Saccharomyces cerevisiae S288C: one gene and its partners. The gene in region 1 interacts genetically with each later gene. Each region holds a gene or a part of one and is shown on either strand. Other genes may lie near its edges.

Region 1 (8,413 bases):
TCTAGGAGATGTCTCCACCTTCCGAGCTACACTCTCACATCTCTTACATAGACACTGTGAAGTAAGTGATTGCACACAATCCAAAGAAGCACATCAAATAATATGTAAATATTACCCGTACAAATGGCAAATCATGTCCACTTTCCCGTTAGTCATCGGGTGGGCCGGTCCTCGCACTTTCCTTTTGTTTCGGATGTTAATTAATATATAAATGGATCTATAATTTTCAAAAGGTATAAACGCACAGTATGAAAAATATTGCAAGAATAATGTGTTTATAAATTATTTTTTTTGCTGGTAGCAAAATCAACTCATTGTCTTCCATTCAGAGTCTAATCGAACGTTATCGCAATGCTTGCACACTTTTAAACAATACGATTTAGTTTAAGTGGATGGACCCCCACGCTTAGTGTTCCACAGGTTTGTCCCCACTGTTTTTACATTCCACTGTACATTTTTGCAATAGAAGGTCATTGTATGCTACCTTGGGCGGCTAAGAATACCTGTAAAAATTTGGAGAAATTAGATTCGTAAAGAATGACTCGCAACGACTCCAATGATTTCTTCTTTTCACCCTTTGAACGGCCGATATCCGCGCGGGATCCTGACCCCGCAATTTACTCCACTAGACCGGCGTGTTTCTCTTTTTCCTTTTCCTGGGGTTAGAGCCCAAGAGCTAATAGCCGACAAACGGACTCCAAAAAAAAAAGGAGGCACAGGACAAACGCAGCACCTGCGTCATTCACGCTGAAGCGGCAGCAAGCATTTTCGATCAGCTCCAATTAAATGAAGACTATTCGCCGTACCGTTCCCAGATGGGTGCGAAAGTCAGTGATCGAGGAAGTTATTGAGCGCGCGGCTTGAAACTATTTCTCCATCTCAGAGCCGCCAAGCCTACCATTATTCTCCACCAGGAAGTTAGTTTGTAAGCTTCTGCACACCATCCGGACGTCCATAATTCTTCACTTAACGGTCTTTTGCCCCCCCTTCTACTATAATGCATTAGAACGTTACCTGGTCATTTGGATGGAGATCTAAGTAACACTTACTATCTCCTATGGTACTATCCTTTACCAAAAAAAAAAAAAAAAAAAAAAAAAAAAAAATCAGCAAAGTGAAGTACCCTCTTGATGTATAAATACATTGCACATCATTGTTGAGAAATAGTTTTGGAAGTTGTCTAGTCCTTCTCCCTTAGATCTAAAAGGAAGAAGAGTAACAGTTTCAAAAGTTTTTCCTCAAAGAGATTAAATACTGCTACTGAAAATATGTCGTCGTCAATTACAGATGAGAAAATATCTGGTGAACAGCAACAACCTGCTGGCAGAAAACTATACTATAACACAAGTACATTTGCAGAGCCTCCTCTAGTGGACGGAGAAGGTAACCCTATAAATTATGAGCCGGAAGTTTACAACCCGGATCACGAAAAGCTATACCATAACCCATCACTGCCTGCACAATCAATTCAGGATACAAGAGATGATGAATTGCTGGAAAGAGTTTATAGCCAGGATCAAGGTGTAGAGTATGAGGAAGATGAAGAGGATAAGCCAAACCTAAGCGCTGCGTCCATTAAAAGTTATGCTTTAACGAGATTTACGTCCTTACTGCACATCCACGAGTTTTCTTGGGAGAATGTCAATCCCATACCCGAACTGCGCAAAATGACATGGCAGAATTGGAACTATTTTTTTATGGGTTATTTTGCGTGGTTGTCTGCGGCTTGGGCCTTCTTTTGCGTTTCAGTATCAGTCGCTCCATTGGCTGAACTATATGACAGACCAACCAAGGACATCACCTGGGGGTTGGGATTGGTGTTATTTGTTCGTTCAGCAGGTGCTGTCATATTTGGTTTATGGACAGATAAGTCTTCCAGAAAGTGGCCGTACATTACATGTTTGTTCTTATTTGTCATTGCACAACTCTGTACTCCATGGTGTGACACATACGAGAAATTTCTGGGCGTAAGGTGGATAACCGGTATTGCTATGGGAGGAATTTACGGATGTGCTTCTGCAACAGCGATTGAAGATGCACCTGTGAAAGCACGTTCGTTCCTATCAGGTCTATTTTTTTCTGCTTACGCTATGGGGTTCATATTTGCTATCATTTTTTACAGAGCCTTTGGCTACTTTAGGGATGATGGCTGGAAAATATTGTTTTGGTTTAGTATTTTTCTACCAATTCTACTAATTTTCTGGAGATTGTTATGGCCTGAAACGAAATACTTCACCAAGGTTTTGAAAGCCCGTAAATTAATATTGAGTGACGCAGTGAAAGCTAATGGTGGCGAGCCTCTACCAAAAGCCAACTTTAAACAAAAGATGGTATCCATGAAGAGAACAGTTCAAAAGTACTGGTTGTTGTTCGCATATTTGGTTGTTTTATTGGTGGGTCCAAATTACTTGACTCATGCTTCTCAAGACTTGTTGCCAACCATGCTGCGTGCCCAATTAGGCCTATCCAAGGATGCTGTCACTGTCATTGTAGTGGTTACCAACATCGGTGCTATTTGTGGGGGTATGATATTTGGACAGTTCATGGAAGTTACTGGAAGAAGATTAGGCCTATTGATTGCATGCACAATGGGTGGTTGCTTCACCTACCCTGCATTTATGTTGAGAAGCGAAAAGGCTATATTAGGTGCCGGTTTCATGTTATATTTTTGTGTCTTTGGTGTCTGGGGTATCCTGCCCATTCACCTTGCAGAGTTGGCCCCTGCTGATGCAAGGGCTTTGGTTGCCGGTTTATCTTACCAGCTAGGTAATCTAGCTTCTGCAGCGGCTTCCACGATTGAGACACAGTTAGCTGATAGATACCCATTAGAAAGAGATGCCTCTGGTGCTGTGATTAAAGAAGATTATGCCAAAGTTATGGCTATCTTGACTGGTTCTGTTTTCATCTTCACATTTGCTTGTGTTTTTGTTGGCCATGAGAAATTCCATCGTGATTTGTCCTCTCCTGTTATGAAGAAATATATAAACCAAGTGGAAGAATACGAAGCCGATGGTCTTTCGATTAGTGACATTGTTGAACAAAAGACGGAATGTGCTTCAGTGAAGATGATTGATTCGAACGTCTCAAAGACATATGAGGAGCATATTGAGACCGTTTAATCACTTTTCATTGCTCTCTAGGGCGTGTTCGCTTCTCTATGTAACTGCATTTCACATATATTCATATTATAGCCTTTATAACATTACATAAAAGACATGATATACGACATACTTTAAAGTTAGAATTTTTGTTGTATTAATTTTCTCGAAGGGATTAGAATGTAAGTACATTTAAATAGCGCCGCAAGAAACATAACAGCCGTTAACACTAGCAAGATGGTAGATTACTGTGTCTAAGAATTTAAATTGTTTTGCTTGCTTTTGCCACTATAAGACAATAATAGTAATAGAAAAGAAATGTTAGTCGAACAGCAAATTGGTAAAAGTGGAAAAAATTATTTCGTTATTCATTTTAGGCCGTTCAGAAATATAGCATTTTGGTTCTTGCACTGAATGGGCCCTGAGGACAGTGTGCGGCTGGATAGCCATATACTTCGACATTACTTTTCACCTTTGAAGGGGGATGTATGCTTATACACAATCAAAGCTCGGCCTGTGCAGGTTTCACTACATAAGCTTTTTTACCATAGAAATCTTGCAGAAGGAAGTAAGTATCAAGATATTACGTATCGCATCCATAGAACGATAGCAGAAAAATGCAGTATATGATAACGATATGCTTCACAGCTGCGGCCCATTTGGGGAAAAAAGGAAAAGGAGCATCCTCGATCTTACAGATGTCGCTTTTTCCTCTTGAGGTCATTCCCTAACCTTGGATCCAAGTCAATCTGGTATCTTCCCACCCTAAATAGTGTATTCCCCATGTAATAAGATCGGACGATAAACTTCGAAACAATTCTAGCCTTTTTTATTAGATATTTACTCTACTTTAGATTTGGTGATTTTACTAAATGTTATCCTTCAGCCACTACAGCCTACTTTTTCTCACTAATATGTTCTTGAAGCCATTTTCTTCACCGGGCTTTGCCGAAGGTTATTTCACGATCTTCGGCATTCGCCGAAAATTTTTCAAGATGCCCATCACCAAAAAATAAAAAAAGCTTTATATATGGCATGGCATACGCATCGGGAACCGGTATTCTTCTCTTGGATTACACAGTTTGGACTACTAGACGTTTCAAATAGATATACACAATTACTCAAAAAAAAATTGAACTTCCGTACCAAACATGACAGCCAGTTTAACTACCAAGTTCTTGAACAATACCTATGAAAACCCATTTATGAATGCATCCGGTGTTCATTGCATGACTACACAAGAATTAGATGAATTAGCAAACTCTAAAGCTGGCGCATTCATTACAAAGAGTGCTACAACCTTAGAAAGAGAAGGTAACCCTGAACCACGTTACATTTCTGTCCCTCTAGGCAGTATCAACTCCATGGGTTTACCAAACGAAGGTATCGACTACTATTTGTCCTATGTATTAAACCGTCAAAAGAATTATCCTGATGCACCTGCTATTTTCTTCTCAGTTGCTGGTATGAGCATTGATGAAAATTTAAATTTGTTGAGGAAAATCCAAGATAGCGAATTCAACGGTATTACCGAGTTAAACTTGTCTTGTCCTAATGTGCCTGGGAAACCACAAGTTGCTTATGACTTTGACTTGACAAAGGAAACCTTGGAAAAGGTTTTTGCCTTTTTCAAAAAACCTCTTGGTGTCAAGTTGCCTCCTTATTTTGATTTTGCCCATTTTGATATCATGGCAAAAATATTGAACGAGTTCCCATTAGCTTATGTCAACTCTATCAATAGTATAGGAAATGGTCTTTTCATTGATGTGGAGAAGGAGAGTGTAGTAGTGAAGCCAAAGAATGGTTTCGGGGGTATTGGAGGTGAATATGTTAAGCCAACCGCGCTCGCCAATGTTCGTGCATTTTACACTCGTTTGAGACCTGAAATCAAAGTTATCGGTACAGGTGGAATTAAGTCCGGTAAGGATGCATTTGAACATCTTCTATGTGGTGCCTCTATGCTACAGATTGGTACAGAATTACAAAAAGAGGGCGTCAAGATTTTTGAACGTATCGAAAAAGAATTAAAAGACATAATGGAAGCTAAGGGTTATACATCCATAGATCAGTTCCGTGGGAAGTTGAACAGCATTTAATTATCGGAATTTGAAGAACTATGATGGGACAAGTTATGGAAGAGTGTTAAGATTCGTATGAATATTTTATTATTTTGAAATTGCATAAATCAAGGATAGTTGGTAAATGCTAATTCCTTAATTTTTCGGTGAGTGCATTCGCAATTGGCATCATACATTAGGGTTCAATGTGCTTTAATAGATGATGATACTAAATACTTATACTTTGAAATAACTTAATCAATGTAAATTATTGTCTTGATTCATTTATACTTAAATTTTTATATCTCAACATATGATATATCCTTACATTAAGACTTATTCAAGAAACATTTTTCAACGATAATTATTAGTAGGCTAAAAATGGCATAGGAACCAGAAAATAATGTTGAAGAAATGAAGCCATCTGTTTAATATTTGGGGAAAAAAGTGAAGAAATTAACGAATATGTGCATATATATATATATATATATATATATATATATTGCACAGGTGATTTTGATGTAGAATGTAGCCTTTTCGAAAGAGTAATTTGGTTTTATCTACAGAGTTCCGAAACATTGTTAAGTGCCTGTTCTTATATAATTAAACTGTACTTTCTGTAAAAGTCAATTTGTGGCTGGCGCATCCACGGTATACCAATGGTTCCGTGTAATTCGATATTGACTAAGAACCAAAAAGAAATGCTTTAATCCTTGTATTGTCCAAATCCCCCACCACCAGGGGTTTTAATGATGAATCGATCACCGGGTTGAGCGTAAATCGTATTTTTACCGCCGACATTGATTAATGCGCCTGTGCTATGTCTTACCCATAAATTCTCACCTCTACTACCGTCTTGTCCTCCCTTTATACCATGAGGGCCAATGACACGACGTTCTGATAATATAGATGCTGTTACAGCCTTCCGAAATTGAACATCCCTTACTACGCCATTTCCGCCAGTATATTTACCTTTGCCTCCTGAACCTCTTCTGATCGAGAACTCTTTCAACAGAACGGGGTATCTCCTTTCAAATACCTCAGTATCTGTCATTCTTGTATTGGTCATATTCGTGTGTACAGCGTCTGAGCCATTCCAACCACTTCCTCTCCATGAATCTGCACCAGCCCCCGAGCCGCCACATATGGTTTCATAATATCCAAAGCCTTTGATCTGCTTATCGGTTTTGTTACCAGAATTTCCTCCAGTTCCAAATGTAAAGTTGTTACAGTCACCTTGAGAATCTGCCATGACGTTAAATGTTTTTAAGATTACATCTGTCACTCTTTGGGAAGTTAATACATTGCCTCCGACAACAGCAGCACCGGATCGGGGGCTCAAGAGGGAACCAGCAGGAATTTTTATTGTTAAGGGTTTTAAACAACCTTGATTTAAAGGAATATCTTCGCCTACTAGACACCGTAGACAATAAAGAATCGCAGAATTAGTAATAGCCTCTGGTGCATTTAAATTACCATAAACTTGGGGAGAAGTGCCATCGAAATTAAAAATATACTCCTCTTTTTCAGGTCTTATGATAACTTGTAGTTTAATTAAGCTTCCATCATCTAAGCGATCTTCGCCAGAAAACTTCGTTGTGCCAAAATGTTCAACCATTTTTGCAAGCATTTTTTTTATGGATTCAGATGCATTTGTCTGAATTGCAGCCATGTATTTCAATATTGTAGCCAGATCATATTCCTTAGTTAATGACCCAATTAACTGTATCCCTTTTGTGTTAGCTGCGACTTGCGCTTTTAAATCGCTTATGTTATCACTAAATCTTCTTGAACCTGAGCAGCCTGGGTATTTGCCTGGATCTTCTACGAAAAGCTTGTAAATTAATTCTTCCTGGAAAATTCCCTCTTTGACAACCAATTCGGAATAAATTGCGGTTCCTTCTTCGTACAATTCTTTGGAATTTGGAGGCACTGAACCGGGTAGAATACCTCCAATATCTGCATGATGGGCTCTTGAAGCCACATAAAATATCAATTCGCCAGTTGAAGAGAAAGAAGGAGTTATTACTGTTATGTCTGGTAAATGAGTACCACCAATATCCGGATGGTTTGTGATTAAAACATCACCAGGCTTTAATTTGCCTTCCCATAACTTCGCCTGTGCTGATATGCAGGTTGACATTGATCCTAAGTGAACAGGTACATGAGGAGCGTTAGCGACTAAGTTTCCTTTAGAGTCGAATAGTGCACATGAAAAATCTAATCTCTCTTTGACGTTAGTTGAAACAGAAGTTTTCCTCAATTGAGTACCCATCTGGAGGGCGATATCCATAAACCTATGACTGAAAATAGACAATAAGATTGGATCTATATCAAGTTCATATCCGCTTTTAGATAATGTCTTCGCAGCCTTTTGGTTGATCTTGATAAATATATGAGAGTTTAAAATTGTTGCTTGGCTGTTTGGTAAAATAATATTTGTTTGGGTACCGTCAGCCAATATGGCTGGGCCCTCGATAATTGTTCCGGCAGGAAGATCATCAATTTTGAAGACCGCAGTGTCGACCCATTTGTTGTCAAAATATGCTTTCTGGGTAAAACTAGCATCCTTTGACACGTCGGCTTTCTTGAAATGGGAAATTTCAATCAATTGCTCATCAACCGTTTTTTCTTTTCTAACGCCTGATTTCCCAATTGCTCTTATCCTTATATCATCAATTATAATTCGTTTGTCATCGAATGAGAATCCGAACTCTTTTTTATGAGCTTCAGAGAACCATTCCCTAAAATTCCATTGGTCATCATATTTTTGTAATATCATCAAACTGGTTTCAGTACCTTCATATCTGAGATTTAAATATCTTTCCAAGACTATGTCCTCCCGAGAAAACGACTGAGATAAAAGGTTTTTGATTGAATTTTTAGAAAGTTCTAAGAATCTTTTTTTCACTTTCAAGATGGTCTCTGGCTCACCCAAGATAAAAGAGCAAGGCTCTTGGTTTTCTTCAATAACATCTGCTAAGAAAATGCCATAAGCGGACAAGATAGAAGAATATCTATGAATTAAAACAGTGTCAATGCCCAATGAATCTGCAACCGCTATGGCGTGTTGCCCGCCAGCCCCGCCAAAGGAAACTAACCGATGCTGAGATACTACATGTCCTTTTGCTTCTGTAATGGCCCTCACAGGTCTTGCCATGCATTCGTTAGCTACTTTGATAAATCCATAGGCAACCTCTTCCATGGTTAGATTTGAATTCAGATCCTTATTGATGACATCTGTTAATTCTCTGAATT
Region 2 (8,157 bases), on another chromosome or scaffold:
ACTCCATGGCCCATCTCTCACTAAATCAGTACAAATGCACTCACATCATTATGCACGGCACTTGCCTCAGCGGTTTATACCCTGTGCCATTTACCCATAAAGCCCACGATTATCCACATTTTAATATCTATATCTCATTCGGCGGCCCCAAATATTGTATAACTGCCCTTAATACATACGTTATACCACTTTTTCACCATCTACTATCCACTCAATTTATATACACTTATGTCAATATTACAAAAAAATCACCACTAAAATCACCTAAACATAAAAATATTCTATCCTTCAACGATAATACATAAACACACTCAATTACGTATCAATACCACCATGACGTCATTAACGTATAAGTTCCTTAATATTACCATTGCTTGAACGGATGCCATTTCAGAATATTTCGTACTTACACAGACCATACATTAGAATAATATGCCACATCACTGTCGTAACACTCTCCCACAAGGATAACCATTTTGCACAGGGTGGCTTTGCATCTCATATTCGAGTCCATGAGCATTTTTTTATTCGCACTCCATAAAATATTTCAAGTCCATTGGCAGCACCTTTGCTGTGCGGTGGTATCACTGTGTTTTCACCATTATCGAGAAATGACTGTGGTGCAGGTAAAAAGGTGTGCTAATCGTCTCTGCGGTTTGGGGCACATAGGTATTGTATGGGCCAAAGCTATGTAAGCTGAACTGTATGTCTTCTCACGTGGCCAGTCGAAAAAGAAGGGCTCTTAAAAGCTCACCGCGTCAGAAGATGAAAAGTGGCCAAGAAGTACTTCAATACGTCGAATCTATTTGTCGTTTGTTCATCCTCGTTAACGTCAACAAGCACATACTCACACGGGTGCTCCATTATACTTTCACTCCCATAATGTAATTTTGACGTAGTGAATTACGATCTAGCTTATATGTCATAATGTGGTAAGTTTACTGGACATTTATATATGTAATACAAATATAAGATATATAGGGTTCTACTTTTGTGCATAGAAACTAGGGTTTCTTAAGTAATAGTGGGTTAGAGGTTTATCACTATATGTTCTCCTTGTGTATTACCGACACAAAAAAGAAGCATCACTTGTACCATGCTTTTGGGTTATCACATTCGACAAGAACCTAACGTATGTCCAGAATCCTATTCGTTACGGATTCCATCCGGATTCTGGTTGCATCCAAGAATATGGGTTGACATTCCAGCATAGCATCTGGCCTGGCCTTATCTTGAAATGGTGATCATGACCTTTTGAACAATTGTGATGCGGCCAAATCCTGATCCAGACCGCCCCGCCGCAGCATCCATAGTTATAAGACCTGACCGACTTGGCGTACTGAGTGGAGCCTATATTTTGACATGACGTTGCTGCAGTTTGTTCGTCGTAAAAACCCTCACCTGCGCAGTCCTTTTGGTCAAAACCAGTCACTCCAAGTGCATCTGAACGTCTTCCCATGACAAACTCACCTGGATAGTATGGTCTGTAGAGCCTAACATCCATGTCATGCCGTTCAAATTCTGAGGGTTCTTCCATAGCGTGATAATAGCCGTTATCATCGGGCCCAAAACCGTATTCATTGTAAAATGACGCGATCGTAACCTGTACGTTAGTATTGACGTCAGTGCAGTTAAAATAATCACTAGTTACATCCTCAAAGTCAATTGTTGCATTCGCCATCGGTGAAATTGTTATGAATCCATTACTAGCCAAATCGACTACAATGTTTCTGTGTTCTGGTGCGAGACAGGCAAGGTAATCTGATTTGAACTGATCAAATTCCATTTGTTCTGTTACGTTGTAAGCACAAGCTAGTCCTAAAGTGGTAAAAAAGTATGACCACGTTAACTTTCCTAGGTAGGTAGGCATCATTATTGTTACTTTTTTTATGATATTGAGTAGCGATACTGTATTCCAAAAGTGTCATTATATATAGTCTCTGTAAATAAGTATCAAACTCAACAAATAATTGTGAATAAGGATATTCTCTGGCAGTCAGCACAACGTATACTGACCACCCCCCTTACCATAATATAGCAACACGCTAAACCATGCTTCCCAGGCAACGTACGCTCTGCTGCTTTTTTTTTAGCAGGGCCCTATTTGGGAATGTGTCGTGAGATGTCTGCAGACGTGCTTTCAAAAGGCCGCTTTCCTGCGCGCTTTCTTACTTAATAATACTGCTTCTCGTACCTGATAAGCCGGATCGGCTAAACGCGCTTCTTGTGGATCCTGGTTCCATCCCTACTTATTTCTATCTTAGTTTTCTCATCAACTGCACATAATTGGCGACAGGATATAGTTCTCTTTAAAACATACGAACGAAATTACCAGCGATCTTCAGTGGGAAAAATGAGCCTCCAGAGCCACCCCATCATTAATATGAAAAAAATACCAGAACTGAAAATGAACAAGAATTTAGATTTTTTATTGACTGAACGCCTTTAATCTCAAAATACAGTACTGCCAAAGGACATCGTTAAAAGTTTTTGTGGCAAAAAAAAGTCTGATTGATTCTGTTGAGATTGTTTAGTGGTACTCTTTGAATGCAGTAGCATAAGTAAGTATATCACTCTCAAGTAGTGCGTCTATCGCAATAAATAGGATGATAATTGAATCTTGTTCCAACACTTACAATCATCTATCTGTATCTAGTATACTCTATGTATGTAATGCATTGAGAAATAATGCAATCTTGAAGGGCAATCACATATTTTTTAGAGTCATTAGTTGGTGTAGTCGAATTCTAATTATAGAATTTAATTCAATAATAAAGATAACGCTATATCACTTGACAAGAACTTAGCATGTAACCAGATGAGTTATATTTGATAATACTTATTATTATTTTTCTGAGCTATGTCTGAACTATTAGCTTCCATAAAACCAATCAGCGCGTATGTGGTGTGGTGTGTGTTTTGTACCTTAGTTTTGTTTTTTTTATAAATGTATTCGAGTTATTGTTGAATGTGGTAACCCAAAAGCATGATATGAGTAATGTTTTAGTATTGTTTCAGAGTTGTTTCAGTAATGCTTGAGACAAGGAAAACATATAGTAGCAAACCTCTAATCCGGTAGTACTTAAGAAACTATAGTTTCTATGTACAAAAGCAGTAACTATGTAATTATTACATTTACATAACATATAGAAGGGTCCAATAAACTTACTACATTATGACATATAAACTAGATCGTAATTCACTACGTCAACAGTTCTTAATTTCGGGTCAGTCAATTCAGCGACAGGCGTAAAGCTTTATCGACCATCTCCAGTGTTCTGAGCACCGATATGCTCGTCATTACAATAATTATCTATACCACCGTAAGTGTTAAAATATATCTCAGACTTGAATGCCGAACCCGTGCCTGCACCGTCACCAGGTATGTCATCGTAATCAAGTGGCTCACCGTTTTTCGTGTCCTCAGCAGCAAAGCAGTATTTCCAATCCCTATTACCTGAAAAGAAATTCTGTAACTTCTCTTCAGCATAAGAATCAAAATTTCCTGCTCCACCTTCGTCATTCTGCCAGTTCTGTGCCAGGTCACCATAACTCTGACTATATGTCATTGATATCCATGAGGTGGCGAACTCTTGACTGCGTCTCTGTAACGATAGGGCCGAAGCGTTGCCACTTATATCAGGTACCCCTGGTACCGCTGCCACGATTTGATCGATGAGCATGCTCACATTATGTACGCTACTCGTGCTGATGTGGGTTCCATGCTCCGTAGTATACCCCACAAAGTTGATCTCAGCAGCACCGTCACGTTTAATAGTGTCATGTACTGCATACCCACTAAACTCTATTGTAACAAAATTACTACCAGTACCATTAGACAATGTTTGCCCATTGAGCACATGATCAGTGAGTGTTATAGTATGATTCAGTACATTAATAGTCTCACTTAACCCTCGCTTTGTTGCTGAGCCAGAACTCTTTCCCACTAAAACTGCTGCAACTATAACTGCTGAAGTTGCTAAAACAGCACCAGCTATAGGTGAACATATTCCGCTAGTGGATGCGATACAGGTTGCTGCGACCCAGTAAGGAGTAGCATAAGCGGCTGCAGCAATTAAAAATCCTCCTAGTCCTAATCCAGTCGCAAATGATCACCTAGCTCGCCGTACTAGAGCAGCAGTGTTGGCGCGGTCAGGTATAGCTCCAGTTCTAAGTGTGCTTAAAAATAATGAGTACGCTACCAAAAGCAGTGCAAAAATTATTGCAAACAATCTAACGATTCTAAACGTCCTTGTTGTCAAGTAATTTGGAGGGCTGCTATTCATGTCGTCTGTGTATGATCTATTCATTTTTTCATATATTTTTTTCTATTCTACATACATTATTTGGGATTACGATACAGTGTTCCAGAATTGTCACTTTATATAGATTTGTTACAATGCATGACACTTGCCAAAATAATCAAGCCCAATACCTAAAATTTGCAAGCGCGCCTTCAAAGAATGGCTCCCCGCTGATTTTTAAGAAATACTACTTTTATAAAAAATATCTCAAAACACCTTAGTTTTTTCCTATACACTTCTTCTATTGTTTAAAGGCCCTGACATTCTTGGTCTCCAGGCCGCTCAATATGCTTCGCACCACGGTAAAAGGCGGCTGCACATGTGGTAAGTCAACAAGGACTCTTTTCACTAATTAGCATGGTGTGCTATCACATGTCATCAAGCTTTCCATGAAATAAACCATTGATTGTAAGAGAACCACCCAACAAATCAAATCAAGATGCCAATCAAAGTTACAGACTGCGTCCTTTTTCCGCCAATTGATCTAAAACAAAATCTAAAGTCAGTAAACATAGAATTTCTGTCATTTTGCGTTTTTTCGACAAATACGCGCACTACCCTGAAATTATTATCATGAAGATTACTATATTTATATTTAAAGGTTAACCTCGAGTTCTATAATATTATGTCATACAAGCTCATTATGTTAGAAAGCGAGTTATGGAGGTTCAAGTTCAGATGCCTTGGTTTGGTTTACTAACTAATATTTGAAATTCTTGCTAAATATTTTCAGTACTCCAAAATCTGAATATTTCAGAATTTCATATCCAGACCCATTCTATGAGCCAAAGTAAACCCCGTGTACTTTCAAAAGCAATGCTACTCTTCCCAAAATAATATAATATATATATATAACTGATACATATAACGTGTTGGAGTCGTATAGTGTTACAGTCCATGATTATACTCACCTCCCAGTGTATTCGTTAATAGAACTACGTAATTGTAAGCCGCTGAAAAATAGCTGGTGTTGAAACAACGAAGACCTCACCTCGATGATACCAAAATTATTAAGAATAAATATAATGAAACTTGTTTGAAAAAGAGCGGGAGCTCTGCTAGATGGAAGAGTTGCGTACAATACTTTTTTTTGAAGATGAGAAAACACTGGCTAAGGTAAAGCAGGTTTCCTGTAAAAGCTGCTAAACCGTCTTTCACGGTTTTGTAATCAAAAAGGCTTCTTACTATCCTTTCCCAGAACGAAATCATACGCATATTTGCCCACATTGTTAAGAGTTTGAATCATTAAAGCAACAATATACTACTAGACCTCTATCTTCTTCAAACCAATAGGTTCTGCTGTCGTAAAAGCATTCTTTTATCAATAACTGTAAAATGTCGTTATGAAAGCCCTTCGTTAGTCTCTTTGCAACCTCCAGCAAACTTGCTGAACTTTCTTTTTCAATGGTGTGTGATCTCTATATCTTGTGAGGCTTGCTATGTTTTAGTAGAAACCATTTGGTTTTTATTATCGAAGCAGTGTATGAGCACAGTGAGAGCTTTATATTGTGACAAGAATTGCGTTTACCTTAAAATTTCGAAGTACATTTCCTTGTATTGTCTAGGTTATGCTGGTTAGTTAATGGGGCGGGAAGTGGTTTAGTAAGGTAGAGGTCCCGTTGGTTATTTTTGTGGAGTTAGGAAGGTTCAATAATGTCAGACATCCGTTAAATAATTACATCTATACAATTCTTAAAAAGAAAAGAAGCGCTTTGGGCAAATTTTGAAAACAGAAAATCGCACACTTCTAAGTTCAGTCCCTTTTAACATTCATTCAAAGCTATTTTCTAGCAATTGTTTGTTCTTATATCTTACACCTTACATGCCCGCAAAGGGATGATCTTACTTTCGACAGGTAGATGTTATATCAAGATATAGATGATCTTTGAAGTCAAAATGATGGCACAGTAATCACTCATTTAGCTATTTCTGTAGTTAGTTTGTATAATGAAACGATATTAAAGACAGGGATCACATACAAGTTAAAAATTTTGTATAATCAAAGAAATAAAATATCTTCCCTTTACTCTTCTTTGCATTATCCGCCATTACACTATCAGACACTGCAGAGCAATAAATCAAGTAAAAGAAAATTTTTTTAGTATAATTCAGCTTCAAGTGAAGTGACTTCGAAATTGAAACTCCATTACTGTCTAATATAAAATTTGATGGAAATCGAAGTTAAAAAATCATCGGAGAATATAATCTAGCTAAACCAACAATATTTTTATTGTACAAATCTTCGTTTTACGTACCGCACCTGACCAAGTGGTTCGCAAATTTGCGAGTAATTTTACGTCTGTATGTTAAGGCTTGTCGGGATCTACCCCTCTTCTTGTGTTCCTCCTAAATTTCTATTAATTATATAAAGATTGGCATATGACAACGAGAGAAAATTTTATACAGAACAAGGTTACAGGTAAATTGTAACACATATTTGTTACAATAAGAGTAAAAAAAGTCTTTCCGCAACACGCTATACCTGATGGATGTTTTACTCGAATTAATAAAGTTATATAATTCAAATGGTGAGTCTCTTCTGTTTTAGCTAATTATGCACCTATTTTCTACGACTTTAAAAGTTTAAAAGATCCAAGTCGAGTTCTGCCTGAATTTGAAACTAATAACAAGCCTTTATTAGGTTTTGGGAAGGGTTTCTTGATTGCATTATACGTCTTAGAAGAGGATGAGGCCCAAGGTTTTGATTTTCTTGGAACGCGCAACCATCATCAGAAATAAAATAAAATTATTGGTTGACCTTTTTTACCTAAAGGAAAGTCTGAAAATGCTGTTGCAACAACGGCAGCGCCCTGCTTTAAGCAAGGCACGTGGTCCACCAAGAAAATAACTAAGAGGATGAATTCTCCTATTTTAAGCCAGGAAACTAGTCAGTAACATACGCCAAGGAAATGAAAGCATAGGATGCGGGCTGATTACCGAAGTCAAAGGTTCTAGTATATGATCGAGTTCTGTAAACAGTATCATGCTGTGGCATCCTGATGGTTACGAGCCTCGAGTAAAGGCTATAGAAGAAGAAATCTACGCTAACGAAGACAGGAAGGATGTTCCGGATAAGTTTAAATTTGATACTGTAACGAAAACTGGAATGGTCAAGCTTCGTGTTTTCAAAGACGATCTAATATTCAAATCACAACGATCTATAAATCTGTTTGCAAGTAGGAAGCATCCCTTCAAGTCATTTACGGCGGATGGAGAGGGCTTGCCGTTATTTGCCTTCCGCACTAAGAAGCCTTTTTTTGTTAGGCGAGATTATGTGGGTTTTCTTTTTTATCAATACGAGATATTGAAAAATGGGGACTTCCCTGAAGAGTCGGATTATGAGGTAAAAGGAGAGTGCGACGGTTTCACTCTGTTTAAAGTTCTTTTTTGCACTGTTAAGGTGAAGAAAACAAGCTATTATCGCAATAAGGAGAGAATATCCCACATACTAGAGCTCAACTTCGGAAAAAAGGAAGATTTTAGGATATTGACACTGGTTAGATGCTCTGAAATTAGATCAGTATATGTTGTAGAGGATAAAAAGGTTATTATGAAATGGGTTTTCACCTCAGAGAGTAAATTTAATTTGAATTCCTCACTGTTCATCATAAAGGCCGCAATTGGCTGTTTACCAGAGGTGGGTGATAGCATAGAGGACATACCTAAATTTGATTGGGACTCCTGCCCTACTATTGGATGTATGTGCAGAACTAAGGAGGCTCTTTTTCAACCTGAGTCTCGAAAAGATATGCATATATGCCCTCAATTATTTTTAGGGGAAACCGGACCGCCACATTATAATGAGAGTTCAGTTCCGTGGCTAACAAAAATGAATATATGCATTTCAGTGCTA
Region 3 (7,716 bases), on another chromosome or scaffold:
TGGGCGGAAAAAGCTTAAGAATATGTTATTTTACAAATCAGAGCGCTGACACATATAGAGAGCTATATGATATGAGTGAGAGCAACTCTCCCGTATATGCTAAGAATATTGTCGCTTATTAGGATTGAAAGATAGGATCAATGAGGAATAAATGTTACCCTTTTTTCTTAAAAATGTAAGAGGAAATTATGAAATATACTCTGATTTGTTTATTATTGATTAAGAACAATATAATAACCGCTCTGGTAGCTACTGTACATATAATTTGACGGCATATATTGCTCATATATAAAACTACCGCATTACTTCCAGTTGATAGATTTTTAACTCAGTTTCAGTACTGCCAGAACTGCTCATTCGAGATTTTTTCTATTTTTAGAATAGGTAAAATTGCACTTAAATGTATAAGGGATGTACGAAGTGAGTGCCCAGACTGTTACTATGACAATTAAACTAATGTCGATGACCATTTGTTTCGACAACTCCATCTTCATTTTCTTCACGCGCCATACTCGGATGAGAAAGAATCTTTTCTCTAACTATACATTTCCAAACGCAATGATCAAGAAGAAAGCTAAATGTTACTTTGAGTTCAATTACTGAGACATGTCATGGGAATATGAGGAAGAAACAAATCTACGTGTATTATACTCCGTAACATGTAGAGTAAATACCATAGTTACCTATTTACCTGTGTCGATAAATGTTCATTAGCTCATAAGTGATGGGATACATTGCTATTCCTCTGCAATGGAAGCTTCGATATCTCCCTTGGGGTCGTTATGAGAGACGTCTTTAGGGGGGGTTTTGACAACAAACGGATCTACTTTCGTCGATTTGAACTTTCTTGCAGAAACTCCAAGTTTAAATAACTCATTTATTTCCACGAAAGTCTTTCCGGCAGTTTCTGGTAGGTCAACCACAGCCCAGATTAAAGTACAAAAGCATAAGACACCCCAGAAAAAGCCTGACTTAGCGCCCCAGTTCCACTTCTTAGAGTTCAGTTGGTATAAGATGAGAACGCTACATATGATACTGACCACATTATAAGTGTTACGTGCTAGAATGATTGTTTTCGTTCTTAGTCTTGAAGATGGCATTTCAGAGACTAGGCAAAAAACGACCGGGGCAATTCCTAAATTGTAAAAAAATGCTACAGCCATTAAAAGAGAACCACTTCCCATTTTGGAACCGTGCGTACTTGAGCACCCCAAACCGCCAATAATGAAAAAAACAATGGTTTGGAAGGCTAGTCCAAAAGCGTAAAGGTCATATCTACCAAAATACTTTGACGCCCACCAAGATAGAAATGTAGCACAAATACCGAGACAGTATTGAATAATACTAAAAGTGAAGGACATTTCAGTACTAACGCCAGCCTTTTCGTAAAAGTAAGTTGAATAACCTATTAGTATTGAACCACAAGTGGCTTGACCAGCCCAGCAGAGACAAGTAATTCTCGTTCTTCTTCGATTAATCTTGTCTTCAAAACAATCACTATAGGAGCCTTCTTTACTTGTGAGTCTCTTTTCCTTATCTATAGTCACTTTTATTTTGTCCACCTCCAGAGTTACTAGTATTTCTTTTTCAGGTCCCTTGCCGCTTAAAGTTCTTCTAAGTGATCTCCTTGCCTCATCAAACCTTCCTTTTTTAACTAGCCACCATGGAGATTCAGGTGCAAAAAAAATTCCCAGTGCTAAAGGAACTGGCAAAATCCACTGTAGGGCAAATGGTAGTTTATATCCTAATTCTGAATCCGCATATTTTTTTTGAGAATTTTTCATGATTCCAGCTGCAAAAAGTTGTCCAAATAACCAGCACAAGTTTGAATAGGTTGTAAGGTAATATCTCAGAGCCAATGGGCATATTTCAGAAGCGTAAGACACCGTCAAACACTGAAAACAACCCCATGGCATCCCGCACAATGCTTGTCCCACAGCAATCATGCCTAAACTATTGCAAAAGTACAGTATAAAAGTGAAGGCAGCTAAAAAAAACAATGCAATAATCAATGTGTAACGATTTCCAACAAGATCCACGGAGGGCCCCGTTAGCTGTAGCCCCACAATTTCACCTGCCATATAACATAAGGTCAGCCCGATTTGCCATGACGCTGAAATTTCCCATTCTCCAGTTTTGTCATTTTGTGAGCCAAACTTTCTCTGAAAAATAGGCAAGGCGTAGAAAGCTCCAAGAATAGCTGTGTCGTACCCTTCCATGATTAAAGTTGTAGAGACCAATAGTGACCAAGCTGCTGCCTTGGGATATGTATTCAATGCTGTCGCAAGTGGCATTCCTCTTTCACTTTCGTCTGCCTCCTTGGCATCCTCAGTAGCGTCAAATATCTCTGTTATTACTTTATTGCTATCGCTTGGCGCTCTTGTATCCGGACTGAACTCAACATGAACAATATCTAAGCCGTCCTTCTTAGTTTGATCATCCATTTCTATCCAGCTGGGTTCATGCGACTTAGCCTTTCCTGGGTATACATTCGAGTCACTTGTATTTTCCTTTCTTCTGTTTATGAGAAAAGATAAGTTTTTCATAGCTAGGTAATGGCTTTACAAGACCTGTATCTCTATTTGTGTTAGATTTTGTGATGGTAATCTTTGCATAATAATTCCAAGAACAGGCCTCTAAGAATTACAAACAACGATTACAGATGACCCCACCTTTTTTTTATATTCTATAGTCAACACTATCATGAACTTGTGGCATACTCATTGCATATGGCTGACAGGATGTCAAATGCTCCCTTCTACGAAAGATTCTGTGCACGTAAAACGCGGGGTGTGGAATGTCGCGATGACTCTCGAGCAGAGAAAAAGACAAACATATAACGAGCTGATTCCTCTCCAGAAGAACAAAGCCAACATTGATTCAAACTGAGGACTTAATATGATTGACTCTCTGGAAACTGCAACAGTGTGATTATAGATCAGAAATTCATGCTGTAATTTTAGTATATCGACCTGTCGCGATGTTGCAAGCGTGACAGATCTATACATATTTCGCTAAAACTGTCGGTAAAATACCAACACGCTGCACTGCAGACCACAGATTCGAACCGAAGCATATTTTCAGAAATTTACGAGAGGTCTTTATAGTCACCAAAATATCCAAATTGAGTAATTAGAAAGAAAAAAACACACATACTGTAGTCCACAACCTGTTTACGGACAGGTTCTGGCTGATGGGATAACCACTCTACCTGACTGCTCTCCTACTTCATATTTACCTCCCGAACAACGTGAAATCTTTTTGCTTGGAGAAAAACAAGTAAAAAGTATAAATGGAGATGAAAGATCCACCAATAAATTCCAGCTTGATTTTTCAACATATGATGACAAATGTGAGTGCTAAATCTAAGTCGTAAGACAAATAAGAACTTTTACCATAATCAGTATCCTGGGAAAAGTGGTAGAACTACAGTTTATCAAGCTTACCCACAAAGCATTAAATATGCTCCCACAATAACCTCTGGAGTGATATAACAGGTATGACTTTCAAGTTATAGTATATTAAAGATCTTGGAATTGGGCGGTTTAGGCTTGTTCATTTCAAAGCTCGAGTAAGATTTTAGTATACTTTTCCCTATAGAAATATTTCCGACATAGATTTTTTAATATAAGCACTTCTTCCATGACATTTTGTTTCAGTTATCTCTCTTTCGTCGCTACTTGAGAAAACTATATGGTTGTACGAAAAAGAAATGGCCAAAATATTCTTTGGGCCTTATTAATCTCATTACTATTGTAAGAGTTGGCCCTTAATTTTATAGAAACACTGTTTTAAGGCCAAAAAAAAAAGATGCCAAACATAGAAAGGAAATGTCGCTTTACTTGGCTAATTGGCTCTAAATCACAGGTCTTAATACTCGAAACGCCATTGATGTACTGTGCACAATTTCCATTCCGGGTTAATTATAAAGATATCAGCGTTTATTTTCATCCATGGCAATGAAAATTGTAAAATAATCATCATCAAAATTTGATATGGTTGCAATAGAGGGAATGATTTGATTTTTATGAGACTTATACGCATCACCCTGTATTTTTGCAATTACGGCGATTTATAAAACTTATAACGGAATTTAAGAGTTTCATCCTACCAAGCGTAATCATAGATATAAAAATTCTATTGTGCAACTCATATTTGTCATTGAAACAGGGACTTTTCTCCGAAGTTTAATATCTAGTATGAGCTATACACCTTAACCACTCCTTACTTGTAAAGGTACGAAAAAGTTGTCGTTTTAGCGCGCACTTACTGATGGATGCTGAATCAGTATAGTGTTTGACTGCGGCAGTAAACTACTCACAGTAGCAGGCACGTACTATGGAAGTTGTTTCGAGGCGCATGATAGGAAAAAGGGTACCAAAAAGGATTAGAAGAGAAAATTTTCATAATGGGAAGTCACTGACGAGGGTTGGTGGTTATCCGTTTTAAAAAAATATTATGCAATCAAGCTACAACATCCTGTAAATTTTGTAGTAGAAAACTTCTATTATAACGGTTTCTGAATTGGCATATAAAATAGTCAAAAGGTGATCTTTAAATCAACGGTAAAAACAGTGAAGCTGGTCCTGTTGTAGAATCGCCATTTCCTTTGTGGTGATAGGTCTTTAAGTAAAGTAATGGTGAATTTAGTTAATTTGTTAACCAACGCGACTCCAGCTAACTGAGCGCATGGTCTAATACAGTTCCGTTAGAAACATATTTTCATTTTGATGAGGTATCAGTATTTGGCGACTATTATTTGAATGCATCTGTAATCTGGATGAATGAAACCTTTTATGAAACCAGAATTGTCCCAGCTATTATCAATGTCCGTGAATGGCTTGACCATATGGAGGCAAACGATCCTTCACCTAGTGTAACTAACCCACTCGAAACTTCAATTATTATGCCTTTTCAACGGTAGCTCCCGCTTTAATGGAGGATATGAAAGTAGCATAAATGAATTAGAAAAGTGTATTCACTGTTCTGGAATATACATGGTACGCAAGAGATATAAAAATTTATAATAAACGTACGTTATGCCCGAAGTGTATCCCGAACTACGGGTTAAACTAAAGCTTTTTAATTACTAGTAGGTTGGAGGTTTACCAATATGCGTTCTTCTTTAGGCCTTACATTACTGAAACAATACTGGAAAATCACTCTTATGATGCTTTTAAGTTATCACATTTAACTTTATGGCATGGCCTCCGTTTGAGCGCACGGAAAGATTTTATAGTACTTTAGTATGACTATTCGTTAGCATTGCTTTATGGTCGTACTCGGAGTAAGAATATTTTGTGAGTGAGCTGGTAAGATGAGGATATTGTAGAATAGCATTTTTGCTCTTATGTGTATTCCTGGTATGATATATAACATTTGTGCAGCTTCTTACTGATGAATAGCATATTTCCTGTTTAAGAGAGGTAGTAGTGATTAATTAGTAATATTAGTATTACTGCATGATAAATCGCTTGATAAAAGTGTCCACTCGCCTTTTAAAGTCACTCAATAGAGTGTAGTATTCATATCTAACAGAATGCAAAAGTATGAATTTTTAAGTCCAGAAGGGCGTTCTCATTTCTTCATTAAAGACTCTTCATTGCGGGACAATTGCGCTTCTTTAATATATGGCCATAGTTCCACATTCAATGGTAAAAGCCACATAGATTTCTTTGCAGATAGAAGGCGGTAGAAGAAGTGGCTAAAAAACCATTCACAGTCAATCCCCTCGAAGAAAAACTCTTCATTCTTCCAGGCTTTTTTCTCAAACAAGTACCTATTCATTTTCCTTGCAATTTCGTCCCATCCATTCGCACCACTTTCTTGCTCATTTATAATAGTCAACAAGAATTGCATCTTGTGTTCCATTTTCACGAGTAAAGCAGTCGTCCTCATATTTTGGAAAAGCCACACCATCATGAGGAAAAACAATCCAGGACACAATATACGAAATGCAAGGCAAAAATGCTGTGACACGCAGATACAGTTCAAAAAAGCAAGCCATAATGGTAGAGAGTAAATAGTGAAAATCCGCTTTAAAAACCAAGTAAGCTTGGACCGATGAATATCCTTGGGAAGCTGAACGTCTTCCAGGCCAACAGGGCTCCATGATTTTTCAGTATTAAACAACTTCCATTGTTTTTCAACTTCTCTAAAATAAACTCCCAATGCTTCTTCAATGTAAGGGACGGAATCCTTAAATGACTTAACCTTGGCAGCTTCGTCTTTTTTCAAAGAGAAGGGTTCGAGAAGGGTTGTTCTGAACGCTTCTTGGCAGCCCATGGCATTGAAGAAAAAGTACCTAGTATTCCAAGCCTTATTTTCATATAAGTACGAATTTAGATTTGCTGCAACAACTTCCCAATCATGAGGATCAGAACTTGGTGTGTTTTCAGTAACCTCTTTGCAAAACTGAATGAGTTGTTTCGATAAGGAACGCTTACGAGAAAGTCCACAAATAACAAGGACAAATATTGGTCCCAGAAACAGGACCAGAAGTGAAACTATAAGTGGGTAAATACAATTGTTGGAAAGTTTCCACCAGACGCTAAGTGGTAGCCATAATAGCATCCAGATCGGAAACGCTAAGGACTTGTAAATTTCATAACAAAACCAGGTAAAGCTGCTTCTGAAAAGATCTTGAGGTAGAACAATCTTTTGGGATTCGAGCTGTTTGAAGGATAATACATCTACACTCTTCTCATTTTTAAGTTCATTCTCTTTCATTTTCGGTAGTGAGATGGCAGTTCGAGGGGTTTTTTATTCGAGATAGTAACTTCTGACTTTTCGCTTTTATACAGCACAGCAGAAAAAAAAAGCCGCCGAGGCGCGCGCGTTCATGCAATGGCTCAGTAACCTCGTGATAGAAAAAGGGCAACAATATTGGGCTATTTTAGGCAAAGAAACTCAGCTATTCGAAAAGGGCATCCATTTCATTTCCGGTTTTCTATCTAGCCAACTCGATAATCGTAATAACGAATTTACAAAACTTTAATGCGGGTACATCACGGTGTGCCGTAACTTTGGTTTACATTTAAGGTGCGACCAGCAATGTCACTGCTCGTACAGCGGTTACCGCTTGAATGAAATACATATTTTAAGCGTAGATTTCCTGTGACAAAACTGTGTAAACATCTAGTAGAAAATAGACGTAGCTGTCACAAATATTTACACAGGAAAGAGTCTGTCCTACGTATCTGACATGAAGATTCATAGAACCAAGTTACTTCCCAATGTGGACAACCTTTCGATACCATGTCAATAGCTTCCCCTTATGTTCGGTGTCACTGTAAAACGGATCAAAACAAAACCTAGAGGTACGGTGGTACTCAGATCATGCATGACCTCTGGGTAATTAGCACTTCTCCCGCTTGTTTTGAGATTCTGTATATAAATATTGCAAACAAAAGGATAGAGCGCGGATGGCAGCCCTTACAGTAAAAATTATTCGTTTTAATCATGCGTCAGTGTGAGATTCTATGACAATAGTATGAGAAGATGGGGTGAAGTAAAAGCGTCTGTATGACTATAGAGTACAGTTATATTACAATATATGGAATAGAGCATAGTGGTATGACGATATTAAGGAACTTTAAGTTAATGATACCATGATAGTATTAAGACGCAATTAAGTGTGTTTATGTATTATGGTTGAAGAATAGAATATTTTTATGTTTAGGTGATTTTAGTGGTGATTTTTTTGTAATATTGGCA
Region 4 (8,849 bases), on another chromosome or scaffold:
GTGAAAAACATTCTCTGTAAAAGCAGCAGGATCGAAATTCACCACATCTGACATTTGATTACCAAGTTTAACAAGCATTGGCCCAGATTTGAAAAACTTAGCGTTTTCTAACTCATATTCATAGCTGGAACCACCATCACTAAAATTTAGCGAAAATGTTATGGATCCATCAATCGTATTATAGGAGGACAGGTCATTTTGAGCAGTACATGTGAAAGTAGTATTTTCATACAAGTATGCAGCCTGTTGCGAAACATAGCATTTGAAAGCCTCAGTACCATCCGCTAAGGAAATAGTAGCTGTTTGCGATGAGTTTAATAGCTTAATCCTATAAACATGTGGCATTGATAATGTGAATTCATCGCCCTCCCTAATGGAAGACGCATCTGCAATACTAAAATCAAAAGTGGCAGTCCAACCTTGATCAGGTTGTTTATTTGCAGTCAGTGGAGTAATTTCTAAATTGGAAAATGTGATATCGTTGATATTTATAGCAGAGGCCAATGCCAAGGAAAAAAGCCACAGAATAATTTTGAGAAAAGTGAACATTTTGAAAACTGGCGAATTGTTGTTCCTTTTGTGCTGACTATATTAAGCGAGGCGACTGATATAAGGAAGATATGAGAATGGACGATTACTAGAATAAATAGAGGGCATTTCGCATATTTATAGTATGCTAAAAGGAATCTTTTTTTGATTCACATGGCTTTTTTTTTAGAAGATTGCATTTCGTTACATGATCAAACAATTCCATTGTAACGTTTTTGGGAATATTTAAGCGCCGTTACTGAAGAATGAAGTGACATAAAGCTGCCATTGTATGGTAAAACACCAAAGGCGAGTACCCTTAGCATTTCCTTATCGAGCTGGAGCGGCTTCTACCTTCCTAATTAGGTCATCAATGACCTGCAAAACAAAGCGAAATGGACAAAGGACCTACACTTGCCTCGTGGCGGGAAACTGCATGTAGTTGTTCAATGTTTCACCACTCAGTGTTGAAACTGTTTACTCCATTGAATTGAGGTGACGATGGATAAACTTTCTTTATTTTTTATATTTTTTTATAATTTAATTAACCTAAATTGAGCCTAACAGAGGAATTTGAAACAACACAATAGAAAACATGAGTTTCAAAAGCTAAATATGGTATTACTATTCATAGTGGTCTTGGTAATGAATAATGCATATGTATACTCTTCTTAACGCCTTATCTTATGTAACCATACACTTTTTTAGTAAGGTTTCAATTAAGCTACTATTCTCAATTAAATACTGCTCTGAGCTAGATAAGGCCTATTGAAGTTGGAGGATTAGATGGATAGAAATAAGGAACTAAATCGTCAAGTTCGAAAGCCTATTCCCATTCATGCATATCACTTACCTTTCCTTAATCATGATCTCTTTAGTGCCATCAGAACTATTTTCTTAACATCGCGATTCTGTCTTCCGGGTATCGCTCCAAAAATGTGCGAGGAAATAGGAGATCGTTCAAATCATCAACTTTTAGTATTGGGTATCAAAGTATCGCAGCCTGGAAACAGAATTAATCTACTGCACAAGAAGGGAATACAGCAAGAACATTCACTTCATTAATAGGACGTATTTCGCTTATGTCCGATCAAAAAGTTTTTGCCAGATATAAAGCAAATGAAATCGTCACAGATCTGCAACATTTTGGAGTAAAAAAGTTTAAATCGAATATAACAAGAAGGAAAAATGCTCTGAGAAAAATTATCGCCAATTTGGTTCTAGGAAACTATGGCGAAATGTCCGTTCTGTTTTCTGAGCTCTTGAAATTTTGGCAAATTGAAGATGATCTAGAAGTGAAAAGAATTTGCCATGAGTATATTAGGGTGATCGGCGCATTAAAACCTCAGCAGGCCAGAGAGGCTTTGCCATTTATAATGGACGATTTCAAAAGCAGAGATGAAAAGTTACAAATAATGGCACTAAGAACTCTGGTATTAGTCCCGGTGAAAGAGCTATCTGATCAGGCCTTCGACTGTATCATTTCATTGGTAAATCACAAGTCTCCACCTGAACAAGTGACGAGGACAGCAATTTACGCACTGTTGGATTTAGATGAAATTGATCATGAAAGGGTATTGGGGTTATCAAGCATTCTACATGACATTGTAAAAGCACAGTCGAGCTCTCCAGAAGTCATTGTAGCTGCATTACATACTTTATATTCCATTCACGAAAAAAACGCTAACATGGAACCCTTCAGGATTCCCTTGGAACTCGCTTTTGACATGCTAGAGCTTTTACCCGAATTAAATGAGTGGAATAAGGCTACTGTTTTGGAAGTTTTGACGACTTCGGTTGTGCCGCAGCATTATTTGGATACCCATGAAATGATCGAACTAGCTTTACCGTACCTGCAACAAGTAAACACATACGTAGTGTTGAACTCTTTAAAATTCATCATGTACTTGTTGAATTATGTTGACGTCATCAAAGAAACTCTAGCCGAAAAGCTATCTAACTCTGTAATAGCTTTGTTAGATAAGCCGCCTGAATTACAATTTTTAGTATTAAGAAACGTTATTCTTCTTTTATTGAGTAGGGAGTCATCTCTACTCAGGCTAGACATTTCGTATTTTTTCATCGAGTACAATGACCCCATATACATCAAAGACACGAAATTAGAGTGTTTATATCTTTTAGCTAACAAGGAAACATTACCAAGAATTCTAGAAGAGTTGGAACAATATGCTACAGATATTGATATTCAAATGTCAAGGAAATCAGTCAGAGCCATTGGTAATCTGGCTGTTAAGCTAGATGAAGACTCTGTACACGATTGTGTCGCTGTTCTACTAGATTTGTTAGAATTCGGTGTTGATTATGTCGTCCAGGAGATTATTTCGGTTTTCAGAAATATTTTGAGGAAATATCCCAATAATTTTAAAGCAAACGTAACAGAACTAGTCAAACACACTGAAGTTGTACAGGAACCTGAATCAAAAAACGCTATGATCTGGATAATAACGCAATATTCGGATGTAATTCCAAACTACCTGGAGTTATTTAGAGTTTTTTCCTCAAACATGTTTAGTGAGACGCTAGAAGTGCAATTTTCCATTCTGAACTCAGCAATAAAATTCTTCATCAGAAGTCCTACAAAGGAAACTGAAGAACTTTGTATGGATTTATTAAAAGGATGCATCGATCACGAAAATAATCCTGACTTAAGAGATAAAACACTGATGTATTGGAGATTGCTGTCATTAACGAAAACGTCTCGTATATCAAACGCGATAACTTTTGAATCTTTAAAATCAGTACTGGACGGAGAGTTGCCACTAATAGAAATGAACACGAAATTAGATCCCACCGTTTTGGAGGAATTGGAGCTAAACATTGGTACAATAGTATCGATTTACTTAAAACCTGTTTCTCATATCTTTAGATTGAATAAAACCAAACTGCTACCACAAAGTCCTATTTTGAATCCAAACAAAGACCTCTTGCCAGTTGTAGGTAACTCATTTCCTCCAACTGGAGCTAATAGGGACCGTCAAAATTCAGAAAGCCAGTCCTCGACGAAGTCCAGAAAGACTGCTATGATGGATGATTATGATAAGCCCGCTGAAAAAATTAATCAGTTGAAAGGTAAGCGTAAATCTAGTTCAAACAACCCCTCAAAACTATCACGGAAACCCTCAACTTTATTAAGAAAACTCTCTATGAAACGGCCCTTTTCGTGACTGCAAATGATACTAATTCCTGTATTTAAATATACTCATATTTAACGAACAATTATGATGAATGAAAAAACCTGATATAATAGACTTAACTAAGCGATCATAAAAAAATTCAAAAAGTTATTTTATAAAACAATTCAGATGTTAAACTAAAGAGTTAATGTAATATATATACAATGAACTGCGTCATAAATTCCCATAGTTCAGCTCATGGGACATTATCTACTTATAAAGACGTGGCTTGGCAGCATTTCATATATAAGGCTACTGAATGTAAATTTTTCTTCCATTGTCTTTCCCGTGTCCCGAGAACTCAATTCAAGCACTGTTCTTGGGCGTAATAAACCTTCCGGTACTACTAAAATCAGACAAAGGCAGGAAGCCTCGATTTGACCTTTTAACGGGTAAAGCTCTAAAAGTTGCTCTCTGCTCCATATTCTCGTTTTCCGTCATTTCAGTATCTTTTTCCCCTGCCTCCCTTACCTAAAGCTTCCTCTTCGGCGGCTAGTAATTGGTCTCTTTCCTTTTTGGCTCTTAGCTTCTCTGTCTTTTTTTGTTCCATAATCAGCTTCTTCTGGTTAGGGGTTCTCGCACCTTCTTCCCACCTCTGAGCTTCTTGAGCTTCTAGTTGTTGTTTCTCTAGTTGGTCCTTTTCGTAAGCTTGCCTACGTTTTCTTGCTCTTCCTGCTGCCACTTTTTTGGCAGTTTCTGAGTATCTCTTGCCAGTATTATGCATGTTCGCTTCTTCACTATGTTTGGTGGTTTCTAATGACAACTATGCGGTTAGCAAACTTCCAAAAGGCGGTTAATAATACGACTACACATTATCCTATATATATATATATATGTACGCAAGTGCTTAGATTGGAAAAAAGGGTGCAACATTCTCGATTGTTCTATTTCAGCCTGTTGATATCAATCTGTCGTTCAATGCTTTGTGGGTGTGCTTTACCCACTCTTATACAGTAGTTAAGTGGCAAAAAGGGTGTCAAAGGGAAAGGAAAACCAGAGGAAAAGCAAAATAGCCGCCAATACTAACTCTAGATTTATATCATGTTATACGATTAATCAGACGCGTCTGATTAATTTCAAAAGTTAAAATATAAACTATTTTTGAAATCCCATTGCAATAAGCGAACTATAGCTGAATCTTTCCTGCAAAAATGGAAGTGAAGGGCAATGGACGCATTGTTAACAAAGTTCAACGAGGATAGAAGTCTCCAAGATGAAAACTTGTCCCAACCACGAACGAGAGTAAGAATTGTTGACGACAATCTTTACAACAAATCGAATCCATTCCAACTATGCTATAAAAAACGTGACTACGGTTCTCAGTACTACCACATTTATCAATACCGTCTAAAGACTTTCAGAGAACGCGTCTTAAAAGAATGTGACAAGAGATGGGATGCGGGCTTTACCTTGAATGGCCAATTAGTTCTAAAAAAGGACAAAGTGTTAGATATTCAGGGAAACCAACCATGTTGGTGCGTAGGATCCATATATTGCGAGATGAAATATAAACCAAACGTACTGGACGAAGTGATCAATGATACATATGGTGCACCAGATTTAACTAAAAGTTATACTGATAAAGAGGGTGGTTCTGATGAAATTATGCTCGAAGATGAAAGTGGGAGAGTGCTTCTAGTGGGAGATTTTATTCGGTCTACACCCTTCATCACGGGTGTTGTTGTAGGTATACTGGGTATGGAAGCTGAAGCCGGGACATTTCAAGTTTTAGACATATGCTACCCCACTCCTTTACCACAAAATCCTTTCCCTGCACCAATTGCTACCTGCCCCACCAGGGGAAAAATTGCTCTTGTTTCTGGGTTAAACCTCAATAATACATCACCTGATAGGCTATTGAGATTGGAGATTTTGAGAGAATTTTTGATGGGGAGAATCAATAACAAAATTGACGACATTTCTCTAATTGGTAGATTACTGATATGCGGCAACTCTGTTGACTTCGACATTAAAAGCGTGAACAAAGACGAATTGATGATTTCTCTAACTGAGTTCAGTAAATTTCTACACAACATTTTGCCATCTATATCTGTTGATATTATGCCCGGAACCAATGATCCAAGTGACAAATCTCTACCGCAACAGCCTTTCCACAAATCATTGTTTGATAAGTCCCTAGAATCATACTTCAACGGTTCTAACAAAGAAATTTTGAATTTAGTGACCAACCCATATGAGTTTAGCTATAATGGCGTAGACGTTCTAGCCGTTTCAGGCAAAAATATCAATGATATTTGTAAATACGTAATACCATCAAATGATAACGGAGAAAGTGAAAACAAGGTCGAGGAGGGCGAGAGTAATGATTTCAAAGACGATATAGAGCATCGCCTGGACCTTATGGAATGTACAATGAAATGGCAAAACATCGCGCCCACCGCACCTGATACCTTATGGTGTTATCCGTACACTGATAAGGATCCATTTGTATTGGATAAGTGGCCCCACGTTTACATTGTGGCAAACCAGCCATATTTTGGAACAAGAGTAGTGGAAATAGGTGGTAAGAACATAAAGATAATATCTGTCCCTGAATTCAGTTCTACTGGGATGATAATATTACTGGATTTGGAAACGTTAGAAGCAGAGACGGTCAAGATTGACATTTAAATAAAACAAGGAATAATTTCCACATAGATATGCAATTAAGTTTTATATGTAAAAGTGAGCATTCATCGTTCAGCTCAAAATACGTTTCTTGTCACAGCTGGTAGAAAAACTATGAGCGTTTTTTCTTACCCGCAGTCGGAGAAAAATTTTTTCTTCGAAGAGGCGAAAAAGAGAAGAAGAGAAAGCACAAATCTGATGAAATAGTAGTATAAAATCGCATTTACAAATTTTCAACCATTGTTTATTTCCTAGGTCATTAAAGAGTAAAGTGCAATCTGTTTACTAATCAGTTTTTGTCTTCATATTTTTGTGTCTTTTCTGCTGCCTCACGCACCTTCTATAATACACCAAATAATGTCCACTTCTCATTGCAGATTTTATGAAAACAAATACCCAGAAATTGACGATATCGTCATGGTTAACGTCCAGCAGATTGCTGAAATGGGTGCTTATGTTAAATTGTTAGAATATGACAACATTGAAGGTATGATTCTACTAAGTGAATTGTCCCGTAGACGTATTAGGTCAATCCAAAAATTAATTCGTGTTGGTAAAAATGATGTCGCCGTTGTTCTTCGTGTCGACAAAGAAAAAGGTTATATTGATTTGTCCAAACGTCGTGTTTCTTCTGAAGATATCATTAAATGTGAAGAAAAATACCAAAAATCTAAGACTGTTCATTCCATTTTAAGATACTGTGCCGAAAAATTCCAAATCCCTTTGGAAGAACTATATAAGACCATTGCTTGGCCATTAAGTCGAAAATTTGGTCACGCTTACGAAGCTTTCAAACTATCCATCATTGACGAAACTGTTTGGGAAGGTATTGAACCGCCATCAAAAGATGTTTTAGATGAATTAAAGAACTATATCTCCAAGAGATTAACACCACAAGCTGTAAAGATTAGAGCCGATGTTGAAGTGTCTTGTTTTAGTTACGAAGGTATCGATGCCATTAAAGACGCATTAAAATCAGCTGAAGACATGTCCACAGAACAAATGCAAGTTAAAGTTAAATTAGTCGCCGCCCCATTATATGTTTTGACCACCCAAGCCTTGGATAAGCAAAAAGGTATTGAACAACTGGAAAGCGCTATTGAAAAAATTACAGAGGTTATTACAAAATACGGCGGTGTTTGCAACATTACCATGCCACCAAAGGCTGTCACTGCTACTGAAGACGCTGAGTTACAAGCTCTATTAGAAAGCAAAGAATTAGATAATAGATCTGACTCTGAAGACGATGAGGATGAGTCAGACGACGAGTAATCATTGCCGCGCCTAATTTTTCTAGGTGTTTTCAAGTGTCATACTGTTTTAGAAAATTTTGTATAGAACAAATACGTATATCCTGCCATATCATATTCTTTGCAATATACACCTTGTACATTTGGCTATTATAAATATTACAATCCATTTAATCATAATCAAAATTTAATTTCTGTTACCACGGGGTTGTCAGTGGAGCATGCCCTGCCGGTTCTCTATAATTTATCTTTTTCACATGAGATATTTTTACCTCAAAAGGTAGTGATGCTGTAATAATATGAGGCTCCCCCCTTTCCTTCGGAATTGCATTTAAATCATTGGGGAACACTAAGACAAGACAAAGGGGCCGTCCACTCATGTGATTTTCAACAAAACAGATAACATGCGGATACACACTGATATATTTTCAAAGGAAAGTCTGACTGATACTTAAGTGAAGTGGTCCTAGTCGGTGGCTTAGGTGGACTACAGTGCAAAGAATAGAATTTTTCAAACATGTCAATACGTCCAGCAACACATGCAGGCTCATGGTATTCCAATAGAGCCCAAGAATTATCTCAACAACTGCATACATACTTGATCAAAAGTACCCTTAAAGGCCCAATTCACAACGCCAGAATTATCATATGTCCTCATGCCGGTTACAGGTATTGTGGACCCACTATGGCCTACTCGTACGCATCGTTGGATTTGAACCGTAATGTTAAGAGAATATTTATCTTGGGGCCGTCGCATCACATCTATTTCAAAAACCAAATATTAGTTAGTGCATTCAGTGAGCTAGAGACGCCCTTGGGTAATCTGAAAGTGGATACAGACTTGTGTAAAACATTAATACAGAAGGAGTATCCTGAGAACGGAAAGAAGCTGTTTAAGCCAATGGATCATGACACTGATATGGCTGAACATTCCTTAGAGATGCAGCTCCCCATGTTGGTGGAAACTTTGAAATGGAGAGAAATTTCTTTAGATACGGTGAAGGTATTTCCTATGATGGTTTCTCATAACAGCGTTGATGTTGATCGTTGCATTGGTAATATCTTGTCGGAGTACATTAAGGATCCGAACAATTTATTCATTGTAAGCAGTGATTTCTGTCATTGGGGCCGCAGATTCCAATATACTGGGTACGTCGGAAGCAAGGAAGAGTTGAATGATGCCATTCAAGAGGAAACAGAAGTGGAAATGTTAACTGCTAGGAGTAAACTTTCACATCATCAAGTTCCC

Evidence for each region.
Region 2: mutations in URA1 (region 1) and YER187W together harm fitness more than expected from each alone (negative genetic interaction), as found in Saccharomyces cerevisiae (one large-scale study listed by BioGRID).
Region 3: mutations in URA1 (region 1) and MPH3 together harm fitness more than expected from each alone (negative genetic interaction), as found in Saccharomyces cerevisiae (one large-scale study listed by BioGRID).
Region 4: mutations in URA1 (region 1) and APL1 together harm fitness more than expected from each alone (negative genetic interaction), as found in Saccharomyces cerevisiae (one large-scale study listed by BioGRID).

The regions. Positions count from the first base shown.
Region 1 is NC_001143.9:20,966-29,378, forward strand, and holds URA1 (dihydroorotate dehydrogenase), read left to right. Parts: upstream 1-4,249; coding exon 4,250-5,194; downstream 5,195-8,413. Other genes in the region: JEN1 (monocarboxylate/H+ symporter), read left to right, coding at 1,269-3,119; OXP1 (5-oxoprolinase), read right to left, coding at 5,862-8,413. UniProt on the Saccharomyces cerevisiae protein: Catalyzes the conversion of dihydroorotate to orotate with fumarate as the electron acceptor. Molecular oxygen can replace fumarate in vitro. Does not use oxaloacetate or NAD or NADP as electron acceptors.
Region 2 is NC_001137.3:561,756-569,912, reverse strand, and holds YER187W (uncharacterized protein), read right to left. Parts: upstream 3,684-8,157; coding exon 3,258-3,683; downstream 1-3,257. Other genes in the region: YER188C-A (uncharacterized protein), read left to right, coding at 6-305; YER188W (uncharacterized protein), read right to left, coding at 1,154-1,873; YER186C (uncharacterized protein), read left to right, coding at 7,288-8,157.
Region 3 is NC_001142.9:737,271-744,986, forward strand, and holds MPH3 (alpha-glucoside permease), read right to left. Parts: upstream 2,547-7,716; coding exon 738-2,546; downstream 1-737. Other genes in the region: COS5 (Cos5p), read right to left, coding at 5,578-6,729. UniProt on the Saccharomyces cerevisiae protein: High-affinity uptake of maltose and maltotriose. Also transports alpha-methylglucoside, glucose and turanose but not melezitose or trehalose.
Region 4 is NC_001142.9:444,313-453,161, forward strand, and holds APL1 (Apl1p), read left to right. Parts: upstream 1-1,610; coding exon 1,611-3,713; downstream 3,714-8,849. Other genes in the region: SAG1 (Sag1p), read right to left, coding at 1-549; LSO1 (Lso1p), read right to left, coding at 4,165-4,446; DNA-directed DNA polymerase delta subunit POL31, read left to right, coding at 4,890-6,353; SUI2 (translation initiation factor eIF2 subunit alpha), read left to right, coding at 6,708-7,622; MHO1 (Mho1p), read left to right, coding at 8,118-8,849. UniProt on the Saccharomyces cerevisiae protein: Adaptins are components of the adaptor complexes which link clathrin to receptors in coated vesicles. Clathrin-associated protein complexes are believed to interact with the cytoplasmic tails of membrane proteins, leading to their selection and concentration.